4 linked regions of the Saccharomyces cerevisiae S288C genome follow. Changing the gene in region 3 together with the main gene of any one other region gives a genetic interaction. Each region holds a gene or a part of one and is shown on either strand. Other genes may lie near its edges.

Evidence for each region.
Region 1: mutations in YHM2 (region 3) and CIT1 together harm fitness more than expected from each alone (negative genetic interaction), as found in Saccharomyces cerevisiae (2 studies listed by BioGRID).
Region 2: mutations in YHM2 (region 3) and APL4 together harm fitness less than expected from each alone (positive genetic interaction), as found in Saccharomyces cerevisiae (2 studies listed by BioGRID).
Region 4: of YHM2 (region 3) and CTP1, a mutation in one rescues a mutant of the other (synthetic rescue), as found in Saccharomyces cerevisiae (one study listed by BioGRID).

What each region holds. Positions count from the first base shown.
Region 1 is NC_001146.8:629,121-632,680, reverse strand, and holds CIT1 (citrate (Si)-synthase CIT1), read left to right. Parts: upstream 1-1,619; coding exon 1,620-3,059; downstream 3,060-3,560. UniProt on the Saccharomyces cerevisiae protein: Specific citrate synthase with catalytic activity only with acetyl-CoA.
Region 2 is NC_001148.4:623,902-628,677, forward strand, and holds APL4 (AP-1 complex subunit gamma), read right to left. Parts: upstream 3,067-4,776; coding exon 568-3,066; downstream 1-567. Other genes in the region: YOP1 (Yop1p), read left to right, coding at 1-301; CSR2 (Csr2p), read left to right, coding at 3,979-4,776. UniProt on the Saccharomyces cerevisiae protein: Adaptins are components of the adapter complexes which link clathrin to receptors in coated vesicles. Clathrin-associated protein complexes are believed to interact with the cytoplasmic tails of membrane proteins, leading to their selection and concentration.
Region 3 is NC_001145.3:749,997-753,419, reverse strand, and holds YHM2 (Yhm2p), read right to left. Parts: upstream 1,460-3,423; coding exon 515-1,459; downstream 1-514. Other genes in the region: 60S ribosomal protein eL20 RPL20A, read left to right, coding at 1-195; U2 snRNP complex subunit CUS1, read left to right, coding at 2,180-3,423. UniProt on the Saccharomyces cerevisiae protein: Mitochondrial antiporter which catalyzes the transport of citrate and oxoglutarate across the membrane. Also shows specificity for oxaloacetate, and to a lesser extent succinate and fumarate.
Region 4 is NC_001134.8:783,157-786,585, forward strand, and holds CTP1 (Ctp1p), read right to left. Parts: upstream 1,417-3,429; coding exon 517-1,416; downstream 1-516. Other genes in the region: BSD2 (Bsd2p), read left to right, coding at 1-400; YBR292C (uncharacterized protein), read right to left, coding at 1,546-1,917. UniProt on the Saccharomyces cerevisiae protein: Transport of citrate across inner mitochondrial membrane.

The sequences.
Region 1 (3,560 bases), on a different chromosome or scaffold from region 3:
AAAAAAAACGACCCCAGTGAGGGTTGAACTCACGATCTTGCGATTAACAGTCGCACGCCTTAACCAACTTGGCCATGGAGTCACTTTAAATTCTGCAGAACGTGAAAGGTTCGATTTCCATGATCTACACGATTTTAATCATCTGTAAGCCTTGCCATGAAGCTAAATTGGTGAATTTTTAAGAATTGTTTTGTTGGAACGAGAGTAATTAATAGTGACATGAGTTGCTATGGTAACAATCTAATGCTTACATCGTATATTAATGTACACCTCGTATACGTTTAAGTGTGATTGCGCCTATTGCAGAAGGAATGTTAAACGAGAAGCTCAGACAATACTGAAGCTGTGTTAAAGACCTATTAGTTGAACATGTTATGGTAGGTACATATATGAGGAATATGAGTCGTCACATCAATGTTTAGTAACTACCGGAATCACTATTATATTGGTCATGATTAATATGACCAATCAGCGTGTGTTTTATATACATCTCTTATTTAGTATAAGAAGATCAGTACTTATTTCTTCATTAATACTAATTTTTAACCTCTAATTATCAACAGAGGAATATGAGGATTCCTAGATCCTCGAGGAGAACTTCTAGTATATTCTGTATACCTAATATTATAGCCTTTTTCAACAATGGAATCCCAACAATTATCTCAAAAATCACCTAAGCCTCACATGCATGTTTTACGTTGTGGTTGATGATCTATTGATGTTGAGGTACCATATTTTGAAATTCATTAAAACAACTTCTACCGGGCGTGTGGTCTAGAGGTATGATTCTCGCTTAGGGTGCGGGAGGTCCCGGGTTCGAGTCCCGGCTCGCCCCCATTGATTTATTTTTATCAAATTTTTTAATATTGCATATCTTTAGTGGGCAAAAAATTTTTCCCTGGGCAAAAATATAAGAGAGCTCATCTTATTGTTGTCAGCCCAATGATTCCCTTGTCAAATTGAATTTTCGGATTTACTTGTTCAGGTACCCGCGTTAAGGGGCTGCCGCGCCTGTCACTCTAAGAAAAAAGGAGCCATCAAAAACCATTCAGCATTAACTAAAAACGCGGGTAGAGATTACTACATATTCCAACAAGACCTTCGCAGGAAAGTATACCTAAACTAATTAAAGAAATCTCCGAAGTTCGCATTTCATTGAACGGCTCAATTAATCTTTGTAAATATGAGCGTTTTTACGTTCACATTGCCTTTTTTTTTATGTATTTACCTTGCATTTTTGTGCTAAAAGGCGTCACGTTTTTTTCCGCCGCAGCCGCCCGGAAATGAAAAGTATGACCCCCGCTAGACCAAAAATACTTTTGTGTTATTGGAGGATCGCAATCCCTTTGGAGCTTTTCCGATACTATCGACTTATCCGACCTCTTGTTGTTTGAAAATGTCAATTGATATCCATCCATTATATAAATGCTCAAAACTTGCAGCAACTATTCTTTACCCTTCCCCTGTTATGGATTGCTAGTCTTAAGGGGGAAATTTGCTGTTTACTAAAATACAAACCAGGTTTGTTTTGGCTTTTATTTGCATTTAAGTAATTACAATTACAACCATTAAAAAGAAAATAAGGCAAAACATATAGCAATATAATACTATTTACGAAGATGTCAGCGATATTATCAACAACTAGCAAAAGTTTCTTATCAAGGGGCTCCACAAGACAATGTCAAAATATGCAAAAGGCTCTTTTTGCACTATTGAATGCTCGCCACTATAGTAGCGCCTCCGAACAAACGTTGAAGGAGAGATTTGCTGAAATTATCCCAGCAAAGGCAGAAGAAATTAAAAAATTCAAGAAAGAACACGGTAAAACCGTTATTGGTGAAGTTCTTTTGGAGCAAGCTTATGGTGGTATGAGAGGTATTAAAGGCCTTGTTTGGGAAGGTTCCGTGTTAGACCCCGAAGAAGGTATTAGATTTAGGGGTCGTACTATTCCAGAAATTCAAAGGGAACTACCAAAGGCTGAGGGTAGTACAGAACCTTTGCCAGAAGCTTTATTTTGGTTGCTTTTGACTGGTGAAATACCTACTGACGCTCAAGTTAAAGCCCTTTCTGCTGATTTAGCTGCCAGATCAGAAATTCCAGAGCACGTTATCCAACTTTTAGATAGCCTCCCAAAAGATCTACATCCAATGGCGCAATTTTCTATTGCCGTGACTGCTTTAGAAAGCGAGTCTAAGTTTGCCAAAGCATATGCTCAAGGTGTATCCAAGAAAGAATATTGGAGCTATACATTTGAAGATTCGTTAGATCTGCTGGGTAAATTACCTGTTATTGCTTCCAAAATTTATCGTAATGTGTTCAAGGATGGTAAAATTACTTCAACCGATCCTAATGCTGACTATGGTAAAAATTTGGCCCAACTTTTGGGCTACGAAAACAAGGATTTTATTGACTTAATGAGACTATATTTAACTATTCATTCTGATCATGAAGGTGGTAACGTTTCTGCCCATACTACACATTTAGTGGGTTCTGCCTTATCTTCGCCATACTTATCTTTGGCCGCTGGTTTGAATGGTTTAGCTGGCCCATTACATGGTCGTGCCAATCAAGAAGTTTTAGAATGGCTATTTAAATTGAGAGAAGAAGTGAAAGGTGACTATTCAAAAGAAACAATTGAAAAGTACTTGTGGGATACTTTGAACGCAGGGAGAGTTGTTCCTGGTTATGGCCATGCGGTTTTGAGAAAAACTGATCCTCGTTATACGGCTCAACGTGAATTCGCATTGAAACATTTCCCAGATTACGAGTTATTTAAGTTGGTCTCCACCATTTATGAAGTTGCCCCAGGGGTTTTAACTAAGCATGGTAAAACTAAGAACCCATGGCCAAATGTTGATTCACATTCCGGTGTTTTATTGCAATACTATGGTCTAACTGAGGCTTCGTTCTACACTGTATTGTTTGGTGTTGCCAGAGCTATTGGTGTGTTACCCCAATTAATCATCGATAGGGCTGTTGGTGCTCCAATCGAAAGGCCAAAATCATTCTCCACCGAAAAATACAAGGAGTTGGTAAAGAAAATCGAAAGTAAGAACTAAGGAAAATTTGATTTTTGATTCAGGGTATGCGACTATTCAAACACGTATTTTCATATACGAATGAGTAGTTTATAATTTATATAAATATATATTACATAAGGAAATGGCTATGACTTCATGATTTTTACGCTTTGAGTCCCCTATGCCTACCGGTTATGTTATATACTTGGCAAATGATATCAATGAATAGAAAACAAAATGCTCTTAAATTCCTGCAAAGCGCTTTCAAATCGAATTGTGGTGGGCTGGCGCGCTGATTTAGCAGTAAAATCTAGCCTGTAGTCGATATACTACGTCAAGGTGTAACTAACGTTTATATGTATATGAACCTGCAGAAGAAGCAAAATGACAAGGTTAATGCATCTTTATCTGTCCTAGAGTAGAAGATACACTAAAAAGTTGATAAAGCGAATATAATATGGTCATGTGAAAAAAGCAATCTCATAAAATTTTCTCTTTTTCCTTTTTTTCTTCTGTTCTTACCTCAAGATAAATGTCACT
Region 2 (4,776 bases), on a different chromosome or scaffold from region 3:
ACCAACGTCCACCGATGACACACAACTCTTGACCTACTGGATTGTCTTTTCATTTTTGAGTGTCATTGAATTCTGGTCCAAGGCAATTCTATATTTGATTCCATTCTACTGGTTTTTGAAAACCGTTTTCTTAATCTACATTGCCTTGCCTCAAACTGGTGGCGCTAGAATGATCTATCAAAAGATCGTAGCCCCATTGACCGACAGATATATCCTAAGAGATGTTAGCAAGACAGAAAAGGATGAAATTAGAGCTTCCGTCAATGAGGCTTCTAAGGCTACAGGTGCTTCTGTTCATTAAGAGGCAACTCACCTATATCCTCAAATCAAACTCTCGTTTTTGTTCTCTTTGTTATCTATTCTATTGAGAGCATATAAGTACATATGTTATTAGTTGTTATATATCGCTACTTAACATATAAAATATTTTGGAGTCGTTTATGGTGTCCCAGAAGATAGCATTTCTATTCATCGTGTTGTGTCGTGACGTGTCTCTTGATATGCGCGACAGACCATCCAACGCAAGGTCATTAATCATGTTATGTTCTGTAATTTTAAAGGCATTTTTTATAGAGTTTCATCGAATTTGTGATCGAACTGTTCATTGGTGATAGATGAAGAGCCATTTAAATGAAAATCCAACTTAACTCTTAACTTCAGTTTCCCAGATCCAGAAATTTTCAATGACTGCTTGCAAATTTGGCTGGCGTTTATTGTGGAAGATGGATATAACTGGCCTAGTGTTAGCTTTTGAGCTTTAGGAACGGCACAGAAAGTTTTTAAGTCAGATATTAAAGACTTTGCCTGAAAATATAAATCCAAATGTGCTAATCCAGAGTTTGCAGAGAGCAAGGAAGCATATACATTCAGTGAGGAACTGTCATATATCTTGTTGGCATCCAATGGTAAGGTGACACCTGAGTTTGCCTCCACTGCCGACGAATGATTGATTGATTCTTCCTTGTTCGCATTTTTGGGCACCTGAGCAATGTCATTCTTCTCTCCAAAAATCTCTTCTAATATGTCAATTGGTTTCACATTGTCACCAGTAGAAGCCTTGCTTTCAGCCTTGCTATCCTCACCCAATAAATCTGACAGCAGATCAACTGGTTCGTTGGAGATAAGGTTTTTCGATAGAGCTTTTCCATTATCCTGTTCCTCGGTAATTTTTTCAAATTTAGGCATTGTTTCTAAAATGATCTTCTTCACAGAAATTGACTGATTGAAAAATATCTCGTATTGATTGCTTTTCATTTGCAGTGATAAATCAGTGGAATCCGTGTAGCTCAATATCAGTTGTCTTAGTTTTTCAATATTTTTCGCGTCATGGAACCTCACAGATAATTTTAATGCTGCTGTTAAAATGTAATTGATTATCTTCAGATTCGTTGCTGTGTAGAGTTCTTGCAAAGTTAGTAAGTAATCAGTAATAGATGACTCATTGATTATGTCTGCACCATTTTTATTGCCCTCGTTGAGTACTAAATCGCCATATTCGCCAATGCACCAAATCAAAACCAACTGCCAACCAATATTTTCCTCGGAAATCTCCGCTGATGTTCCATTTAGTGAAATTGTCAGCATTTTCCGTAAAAATTCAGATTTGTCGGATAACTGGCTCGTATTATTTATTATGATTAGAATATCATTAATTTTTTCATAGTTGATAAACGATCCCACTAATTTTAAGATATTAAAGAAAACATCTAATTTCCAGCTTTCATCTTTGACAACGCGGGTATCAAAAGTGTCAATTAAGTGATCTATAGTGTATATTATGAGATCTTTTGAATCTTCATCCTGTTTTGCCAAAAATTTCATCAATTCGTTAACCAATTCCACTAAATTTGAATCGTCCAAGATGGCGAAGCTCAACTCTAACGCTCTCATGCGGATCGACACATCGGTATCCTGCAGACAATGAGAAATGAATTTTCTATGCCTTTGTACTGCGGTAGGCTCTTGGGGAACAACTTTTAATAAGGTGTTTAATGAAACGTATTTAGTATTATTATCTTTTCCTGCAAGAAACTTGGCCAAGATGTTAATACCAAGGACACGTAGAGGCTGGTTCAAATCCAACGAAAAGATCGTCTTCACGGTCTCATAAAGAATGGCCTGTCCGCTGTTTTTCGTTGAATCCGTATTCGTCGCAATACGAGTCAATAAATCGCAGAAATTATCTTTGTAGTCCAAAACATTGTTCGAATTTAAGAGCTCACCAACTTGAAAGTATAGTTTTAAAGTGTAAATTATTTCACACTGCAGAAATGGGTCACAAATACCTTGGACATCATATCCAGGTTCAATATTTTTAGAATTCATATTTTCCAAACGAATGAAAAAATCACGCAAAAGTAAAGATAATGGAGACAAGATGTCATTGCTGTAATCAATACCGTCTTCATCTTCATCCTCATCTTTTTTTCTGTTCAATCCAATTAACAAAATAGATTGTATGATTTTCGTAACGCCTAAAAGTACACCGTGAGTACATATTGAATGACTAGACAATATCTTAGTAATGTCTTCGATGTTGAAGATTTCTAAAAGTGAAACGTCTTTGAAAATTAGTTTGGCAGCACATTGAAGCGCTTTTTTCAAGAGGAAAGGGTCTCTTGAATTTTTGATGATATTTTCGACGTCTGGGTATAAATCTCTGGCTAATTCAGGGGAGCTCAAAAAGCCTAATGAGGTTAGTGCAAGTGACACTGCATATTTGTTGGGATGATGCAAATCGTTGTTCAACATGTTCGTTAAGAGTGTCAATAAATCTTCAGATTCGTCCAACAATAAAGTTGCGGCCAGATAGCCTAATCTTTTATCGACAAAATCGTCAGAAGCAATTAAATTGATAGACTCCACCTGACCGAAATGTGTCTTTTCCCCTAGAATGTATAGATACAGAAGTTTCTGGATATTTACTCGCCTTTTTTCATGTGGTAGATGGTCATCTCTCAATTTTGTCCTAATTTTAGCAGATTGTTTCGTTATAATTGCCCTTTCATCTGCCAGTGTTTTGGCACCACGAACGTCTTTGATAAAGCTTCTCAACGAAGAGCCCATTATGGTGTTCAGGTCTTTCTCGTTGCTAAATCAAGATGGTCAATATTTCTTCTCCAATATTAGCAGTATAAAATCTCGAAAAAGTATGATTTAGTTGTAATTCTCATATGGCCAAGCCCACTAAATTCAGTGAATACAAACAGCTAAGGACGTCAAAACTCAGAGTCGGGTAATCTTCATTTGAATTTTTTTTCTCTTAAGGTAGATAACACCAAAGAAAAGCAATCAGTAGCAAAATATGGACTTTAACGCTGTCAGTTCCAATTGAGAAATATCGTAAAGAAAGTTAGTTGTTTTCACTCGCAACCTCTCTACCTTCGTGGCCTAAAATAGATTTAAATAATCGAATAAACGGTTTGTTCTTATATGTGATACCCTCTTTCACCACCTTCCTGTAGCCCCAGTTGGTATTACTTGTCCCAACCTCATTCCTCTTTCCATTATCAATTAATCGGTTTGTGTTGTTCGTAGCAGGACCACACTTCCGGAATTATATACATTTACATGTATATAGAGAAGAAAGCTTCGGCGGCTAAAGAATAGAACCATCTATTACCCGCTCGCCCGGTCGTTTGGATGCGTGGGTGGTATAGTTTCTTTTTTTTCATTTTAAGGGATACCGCTCCCCACGTACCCCACGACCAGCCCTAGTGGAATAAGAAATGCAAAATCCGGGGTTGGCGCAGCGATTCTGCACGGCCAAACCCTGGGCTTCTTTATTTTGTAGATCTGCCAAATGATGGCTATGCCTTACTCGGTATCACATGGAAAAGACCCCCGGCTTATTGAATCCCGTCTCCCGTTCCCTGCATAGTTGTCACGGTTTGGACTATATATATCGTCGTTTCTCTGTTTTATTTATTATGATGGCTCTCCAAGGGTAATCAGTCAGACTAGTAAGCAAAGTCAATCATGCAATCTACTGTCCCAATAGCAATTGCGAGCAACGGCAACAAGAGAGATGTCGTCCAGAACGTTTCTGCAGGCGACGAGGGTGATATATTGCAAAGGCTAGCCCGTAACAGAGAGATGATTTCTACCTCCCTCTCGCCACAAAAATCGTCAGGATTTAGTGGTAGAAGGAGGTCATCTAGTGTTAGGGACGCCCTTTCTTCTTTTTTTGGAACTGGTAATAGTCCAACATCTAGTATGGACGATTATTCCAATTTGATGAACCGTAACTATTCTACCGCATCAACTGCCATGTGTAGGGGGAACAGTTTTCCTTCAGATGTTGGCACTAAGGCTTACAATATTACGGGATCTTACCAACCGGATAGGCACAGGAATTCTGTTCCGTATACCACCATAGACCAGTTACACACAAGGCAAGACACCGGGTTGAGGAGAGAGTCAGATCCAGTCGCGGCAAAACAAATATCTAGTAATAATGATATTGTTAGGTCATTCATAACACATCATGCTAGTAATAGCACTATGTTTATTAATAGGGTGCTATCGGACTATTTAGCGGATCGTGGTTTCATCAAGCAAACACCGTTATATAATAAGAAAAGTGTGCTGGAAATTTCCATTGCAACAAGTGCAGAATCAGTTTTCTTGCCAACTACAAAAAGTGATGAAACAGAGTATCTATCACTGATTCATGGTTCTTTAAATCAGGCGCGAACACAGCCTGTCGGGTCCACTAACACTGCAGAAAGTGATTTCCTCCCTTCATGTCCTACGATGGACACTTTGAATGAAAAC
Region 3 (3,423 bases):
GACATGGCTGCCAGACACAGAGCTAGATTTAGATCTATTCACATCTTGAAGGTTGCTGAAATTGAAAAGACTGCTGACGTCAAGAGACAATACGTTAAGCAATTTTTGACCAAGGACTTGAAATTCCCATTGCCTCACAGAGTCCAAAAATCCACCAAGACTTTCTCCTACAAGAGACCTTCCACTTTCTACTGAACTGTGCATATTTGAATTTTAAGATATAAAATATTTTTCTGATACTTTAATAGTTTATTTTTATGTATTATCAATTCTGTAGAATTTAATAATTTCAACATTTCATGAACGGCCAGAGGTAAATGGGTAAGGCTTCCTTTCAAAGAATCTATAGATATTAAGGTTTGCATGAAGTAAATAGCTGATAACCTTAGTACAATTAGAACAAGTTGAGACAAATAGGAAGCACCCCAGCATAAGAGCAATATCCTCAGAAAAAAAAAAAATGACTAAGCTAAATAATTAATTTTTTTAAAAAAAACTTATAGTACAATACACGCTAATGTTTGGCAACTGGGGTTTCACCAGTCATTCTGGCGACAAATTCCTTCGCCATATCACCAAAACCAACCATGAAGACAGTTTGCCAGATACCTAAACCAATTCTTGGGGTGACACCACGGTAAAGACCCTTTAGACCATTTGATTGATAGATGTATTTAAATGTCTTACCAACAGTCAAATTTTTTGGTCTGTTTGGATCTTCCTTCTTAGATTGCATTTCAACTCTAATGACTTCGATTGGTTGATTCCAAGCACTTAAACCACCACCTAAAGCACTGGCACCAATTTTCTCGAACGGATTCAACTTGTCGTCTTTATTGGTTTTCCCGGTGATCTTTCTGATACCATCTTCCACTAGTCTGGACAAACCAAAACGAGAACCCCAGTTGGTCATTTGTCTAATAGCAACAGCATTAACACCCTTATTAATACCTCTAATACCTTCCTTTTTATAAATATTCTTGAACACACTCCAAGAAGATTGTGGGACACCACCTGCGGAGGCAGATTTATGTCTTGTAATTTCCACCGTTTTCATACAGGTACAGAACCCCATGGTTAAGTAGGCTTGAGTGACACCACCCGTGACACCACCTAATATACCTGAGGCAAAGTTGTTCAACCCCAAACTTTTGAAACGATACTCAGCCTCAGCTGACACGAACAGCAACACAGCACCTTTAGTGGAGGCTTCGATCCATGCCCATGGAATCAAACCTTGGTAGTAACCCAAGATACCACCTCTTGACCAGACATGCTTAACAGATTCTAAAAATGTGAAGTTTCTGTTTGCAGCCATTGTGGTCTTAACAACCTCCAAAGGTTGCCCTAATGTAGTCACCTCTGACAAGTTTAAACAGGCACCCAATAGGATATTAGAAAACGAGACTGGCTTTTTTTCTATTACGTTTGCTGCAGCAGTATTAGTGGTAGATGGCATAGCTATAATGACGTCGGGCTTTTCCTAGCTTTATTTGTACAAAAGACTTATATAAAAAGATTGTATCAGCGCTGTTTATATCTCAATGAAAGTAGATATATATACCGTAAGCGAGTTGAAACAATGACTTGAGGTGGGCAGCTTCGGACTTTTTGCAAAATTCAAATCCGAATATCTAGAAGATTGTATTGACAGCGTTTTTTAAATGTCCGTAGATTTCTCGAGATATATAAATGTTACAGAAGGTAAGATCCATGCAAGAGGCTAATGCGTTTTTCTTTTTTTTTTTTAGAGTGCGATATCTTGTCATAAGTTTACACAATGGGACAAAGGAAGCTAAAACATGAGTGCAAAAGAAGGGCCCATGTTTGTCGCCCTATGCATTTAGCCAATCATCTTTTTTTTTTGCGTGATCTTTATCAATCGTGATTCTCTGCCTTCTGAGTGAAAAAAGTCATGATCTTCGCGTTATTGCAGCGGAATTTGCCGACAGGACCTAGGTCTTGAGAAAGAAAAGTGATAGGGTAAGTAATGGAAGAAGAGGGCACAGGTCCAATCACGCAGCTTCATTACAGGGCTATAATTGCAAGAATAATAACTTTCAACCATATAGAAATCCAATACAGTATATTGGTATTGTTTAGAAAGGTATTAAGAAGGCAGTAGCATACAGAGTATATATCTATAGGCAGAGCATCAGATCATAAAGATAGTGGTGAAATGGCTAGAACCAAAAGTAGGAAGCGTTCCGGAAATAACCAAAATAAGAATGCGTCTGTGGTAAATAATAAGGCTGAGATCGCCGCCATGATTGATGCAAGAAGGCTTGAGCAAAAGAAAAAGGGTGGGGTGACTAACAGCAAAGGAAAGACGAATAAGGTAGTGGATGCGAAGTTAGAAAAAGAGTTCAAAGACGTTTTACAACGATTTCAAGTGCAAGAGAATGATACGCCGAAGGAAATCACGAAAGATGAAAAGAACAATCATGTCGTTATTGTTGAGAAAAACCCAGTTATGAACAGAAAGCATACAGCAGAAGATGAATTGGAGGATACACCCTCGGATGGTATTGAGGAGCATCTATCGGCAAGAAAACGTAGGAAGACTGAAAAACCTTCACTTTCGCAGTTAAAAAGCCAGGTACCGTATCCTCAAATTATAGAATGGTACGATTGTGACGCAAGATATCCAGGCTTACTAGCGTCAATTAAGTGCACCAAAAATGTCATTCCTGTTCCAAGCCACTGGCAGTCCAAGAAGGAATATCTATCTGGCCGTTCTCTGTTAGGTAAAAGACCTTTTGAACTTCCTGACATTATCAAGAAGACAAATATAGAACAAATGAGATCGACGCTTCCGCAAAGCGGACTGGATGGTCAAGATGAAAAGTCACTAAAGGAGGCCTCAAGAGCAAGAGTGCAGCCGAAAATGGGCGCCTTGGATTTGGATTACAAGAAGTTACACGATGTGTTTTTCAAGATAGGAGCCAACTGGAAACCTGACCATTTGTTATGCTTCGGTGACGTCTATTATGAAAATAGGAATCTTTTCGAGGAAACGAACTGGAAAAGAATGGTTGATCATAAGAGACCGGGGAGAATTAGCCAAGAGCTTCGTGCCATAATGAATTTACCCGAAGGTCAACTACCACCATGGTGTATGAAGATGAAAGACATTGGATTACCTACGGGATATCCTGATCTGAAAATTGCCGGCTTGAATTGGGATATAACGAATTTAAAAGGCGACGTTTACGGAAAAATAATCCCTAATCACCATTCAAGGTCCAAGAAACAGGGTAGAAACTATTTTGGCGCATTGATCTCATTTGAAACCCCTGAATTTGAAAATTCAAAAGAGGATACACAGGCGAATGCGGAAAATGGGCGCCAAGATGACAAAATCGATGATGAAGTAGAGCATAAGTTAGATCACTTCCAGGAAGACATATCCGAAGTGACAAG
Region 4 (3,429 bases), on a different chromosome or scaffold from region 3:
TCAGTTCATTGGATTTTTAATAACCTACATTTTACACACATCTCACGCAGCAAAGCAAGGTTCAAGGTTTGGATTAGGGTTAACGTTCATTGGATATGGTTATTCAATGATTCCCAATGATGTTACTTCAAAAGTCGGCAAAAATAAAAGCTTAAATAGAATGGAATTAGAGGATCCAAATGAATTCGATGATGTTCGTCTAAATTCACAATCAACGACACAAGATAAATTTGAATCACATTTGAATCACGGTCTGGATGAAGAAAAACAAAACATACCATGGTTGGCTGTTTTTGTGGCATTTCTTGGGCTATTTATCACCCTGAAGAGTATATACGACTACATTCAAGTCAAAAAATTGGAAAAGAAATACCTCAACCAAAGTCAAAATCAAGCATAAGCCATCTTCTTCATTATGATAAAAAGAGATATATAACTTTTTTAAGTGATCGGCTGGTAAATAGACTTATAACGAGTAGAAAACATTAGATGATATATTGTACACAATAATACATTTCAGGCTAGCATAACTAAGACCTTTTCATAGATAGTGAAAACAATACCACCACTCAAGACCAATCTCCCAAGTCTAGGCGTAGCACCTTTCCAAAACGTCTTTAACCCTTCTTCTTTGAAAATGGTTGCAAAACAATTCATTGTAGAGGAGTATTTGGTGGAATCCAAACTTTGCATTCTTGTTTTCACAGTATCAAGGGGCATGGTGGAATAGACCGTCACAATACCACTAAATGCACCCACTAAGAAGGTTAACCCGGATGATAAAGGTTTGTCTTTTGGCGAATCCGTATAATCTTGGATCAAGGTCTTAATCTTATTGTAACAACCCAATCTAACGGCTTGGTTTGCGGCCTGTCTCATGGAAACTGGCAAAACACCACGATAAAGACCAGAAAATCCTTTATCACGGACTAATGATGAATAGTTTCGTACTACACCGCGCCCATTATTATGGTATTTTGGTGTAGCAGATTGTTTATCATCGATCAAAGCAGTTTTGATTGCTTCAAAAGGAGTCACTGCGGCAACACTTTCTAATAGTCCCGCACCTAACCCAGCTATCACCCCTCTTGTACCACTTAGTTCTCCAGTTTCACTATCTCTTAGCATGTCTTTAATGGTATCAAAGCCAAGAAATCTAATACCCGCCTTAGCGGTGTTTCCAATAATAAATGCGGGACATCCGACATAAATGGAACCAATGCCCTGAGTTTTTGCAGTTTTATATATCAATACCAGAGGATTTCTTGATGCCTTGGAGGCCTTATCAATCAGCTGCAGCCTTGTTTTGGCAAACTCAAAAGGATATGTTATACATGCTTCAGCAGCACCGGCTAGGGACCCTGCCAGAAACGAGTGCAATGGATCTACGTCACTTTTGGTAGCTTTACTGGACATCGGTAAAATGCTAATTTATAATTCAAGCTCTACTTTGGAGTTCTTTCATTGTGACATCAAAATGTTTTTAATTTTACGTTGGCTTCGACATTTTACGTTTTATATATCACGCTAAAGTGAGACTAAATTTCATTGTTCTTCTTTTTTTTTTTTTTCACTTCTAATAATTGAAAATTCCGCAGGAATTCTTCCATATTCTTGACTCTTCAGTAAGACTAACTTAATGGAAATAGAGAAAATAGTACATATTTGAAAAAAAAAAAAGAGGTGTTGAAATGATTTGAGAATATTAAATAGCTTACAAGCGTTAGCCGAGTTCCCAGACAGCAGAGTTTCTACCCTGTGCTCTTTGTTGGCGGCTTTATTGATGAGGAATATAAAAATGTAATTAGGCAAACCTACGCGCGAAAATATAAGAAGCAAAGATATAAAGTGTAGTATATTTGAATATTTACATGAACGAAACGGCGACGTATAATGGTAATCGGCTGGGAACTTCATTAAAAAGTCAAGATGTAAGTTACCTCTTAGTAAGAAGAGTTATTGCAGCAAGCTTAGTATCAATAGGGAGACTCTGTCATGTAAAAAAATAAATGAACACAATCATAACCTCTTCGACTGGGCTATTCGTTGTATAGTATATGTGGTGGAGTGTAATGAATGAAGTTCTCAGAAGCTTGAAAGCATATCAAAATCACGTATTGACTATGACAGATTCTTGTTTCTTGCTCCATTACTCCATTCGAGTTTTTCACAACTTTTGTCGTTCGTCTATAACATCTCTTTTTTTTCCCACTCTTCTAAAATATTGGCATAGCTGACATGTTTGGAACCGAATAAGCAATTACAATACGACAGTAAAATAAAAGCATGTTATTGCTGCTTGTAGAGAATTCCTGCATATGTAACTTTCTCATTCCGACGGGATAAGTTCATAAACTAATCAGCGATGAGTTGCGGAAAATTCGTCAATAGAATATTTTCCAGTCAGTGGTGGTCCCAGTGGCCTGCAACCTAATGGCTATAGTTCTGGATAATAAATTGGGCAAAGGTCAGTATAAAGAATGAATGTATCAGGCCGTAATTGAAGCTTTCAAGTCCAGGTGAAAGGCCAAATCGACAATTAGCGAAAACAGGATTTTTTTACCAACTTGAAATAGTGACTGCTGTCTTTTTGCCTGATTAAGTGGTTATATATTTCAACTAATATCACAACAAAAGGCCTCTCAAAATTTGTGGCGAAGTGTACATCCTGGGTGCTCAGGTAAGCGTCGTCTTCGTATTTTTTTTTTTTCAACAGTAGTTTGGAAATAATGCTCTTCGAGGAATGCGAGCGGAAATGTTATCCACTGTATAAGTCGATATTTTAAGGGACGCTAAATATATCATCATAGCTCGTCTATTGGTGGCTTCTCCAATTGCACTTTCAATGCATTATGGTAAAGTGTGGTGATAAGGCATAGTGATGTTTACAGAGGTCTGTTGGTTTCTCTGGGCTCGCTCATCATCCGACCAGTAACCTTGTGGGGTTTCACATATTGTTCTATGCATTATTATCACGGATTTGTGCCTGCAAATGCTGTTTCTTTGGCTTTTCTTTCTAAAAAAATTATGATATATATATTGTTCCTCCTTGTTTAACAGGCTTTACGGTATTGTGGATCCTAGTAATAGGCGTACTTTTCTTCATTTACATATTTGAACAATATATGTCTCACAAGTAGTTGACCGAATAGCGTTACGTAAGGGTCAAAAACCTTTTCAGAATTGTATATATGACATTTTTAGAACATGATATAATAAACAGAATATAAAAGAAAATAGAGACGACGTACCATGGCATGAAGAATTGTACTGATATCACATTGTGTTGAGCACTGATAGATTAATACTATATTTCTGCTAGGTGCGGGGGGTAACATGTCCTAATGTGTGGCAACCACATTCTAAGGCTCGGTAAGTGATGCGATATATGTGCATGTGTGGCTTTCTTCCTAATTTGCTATTAGATGA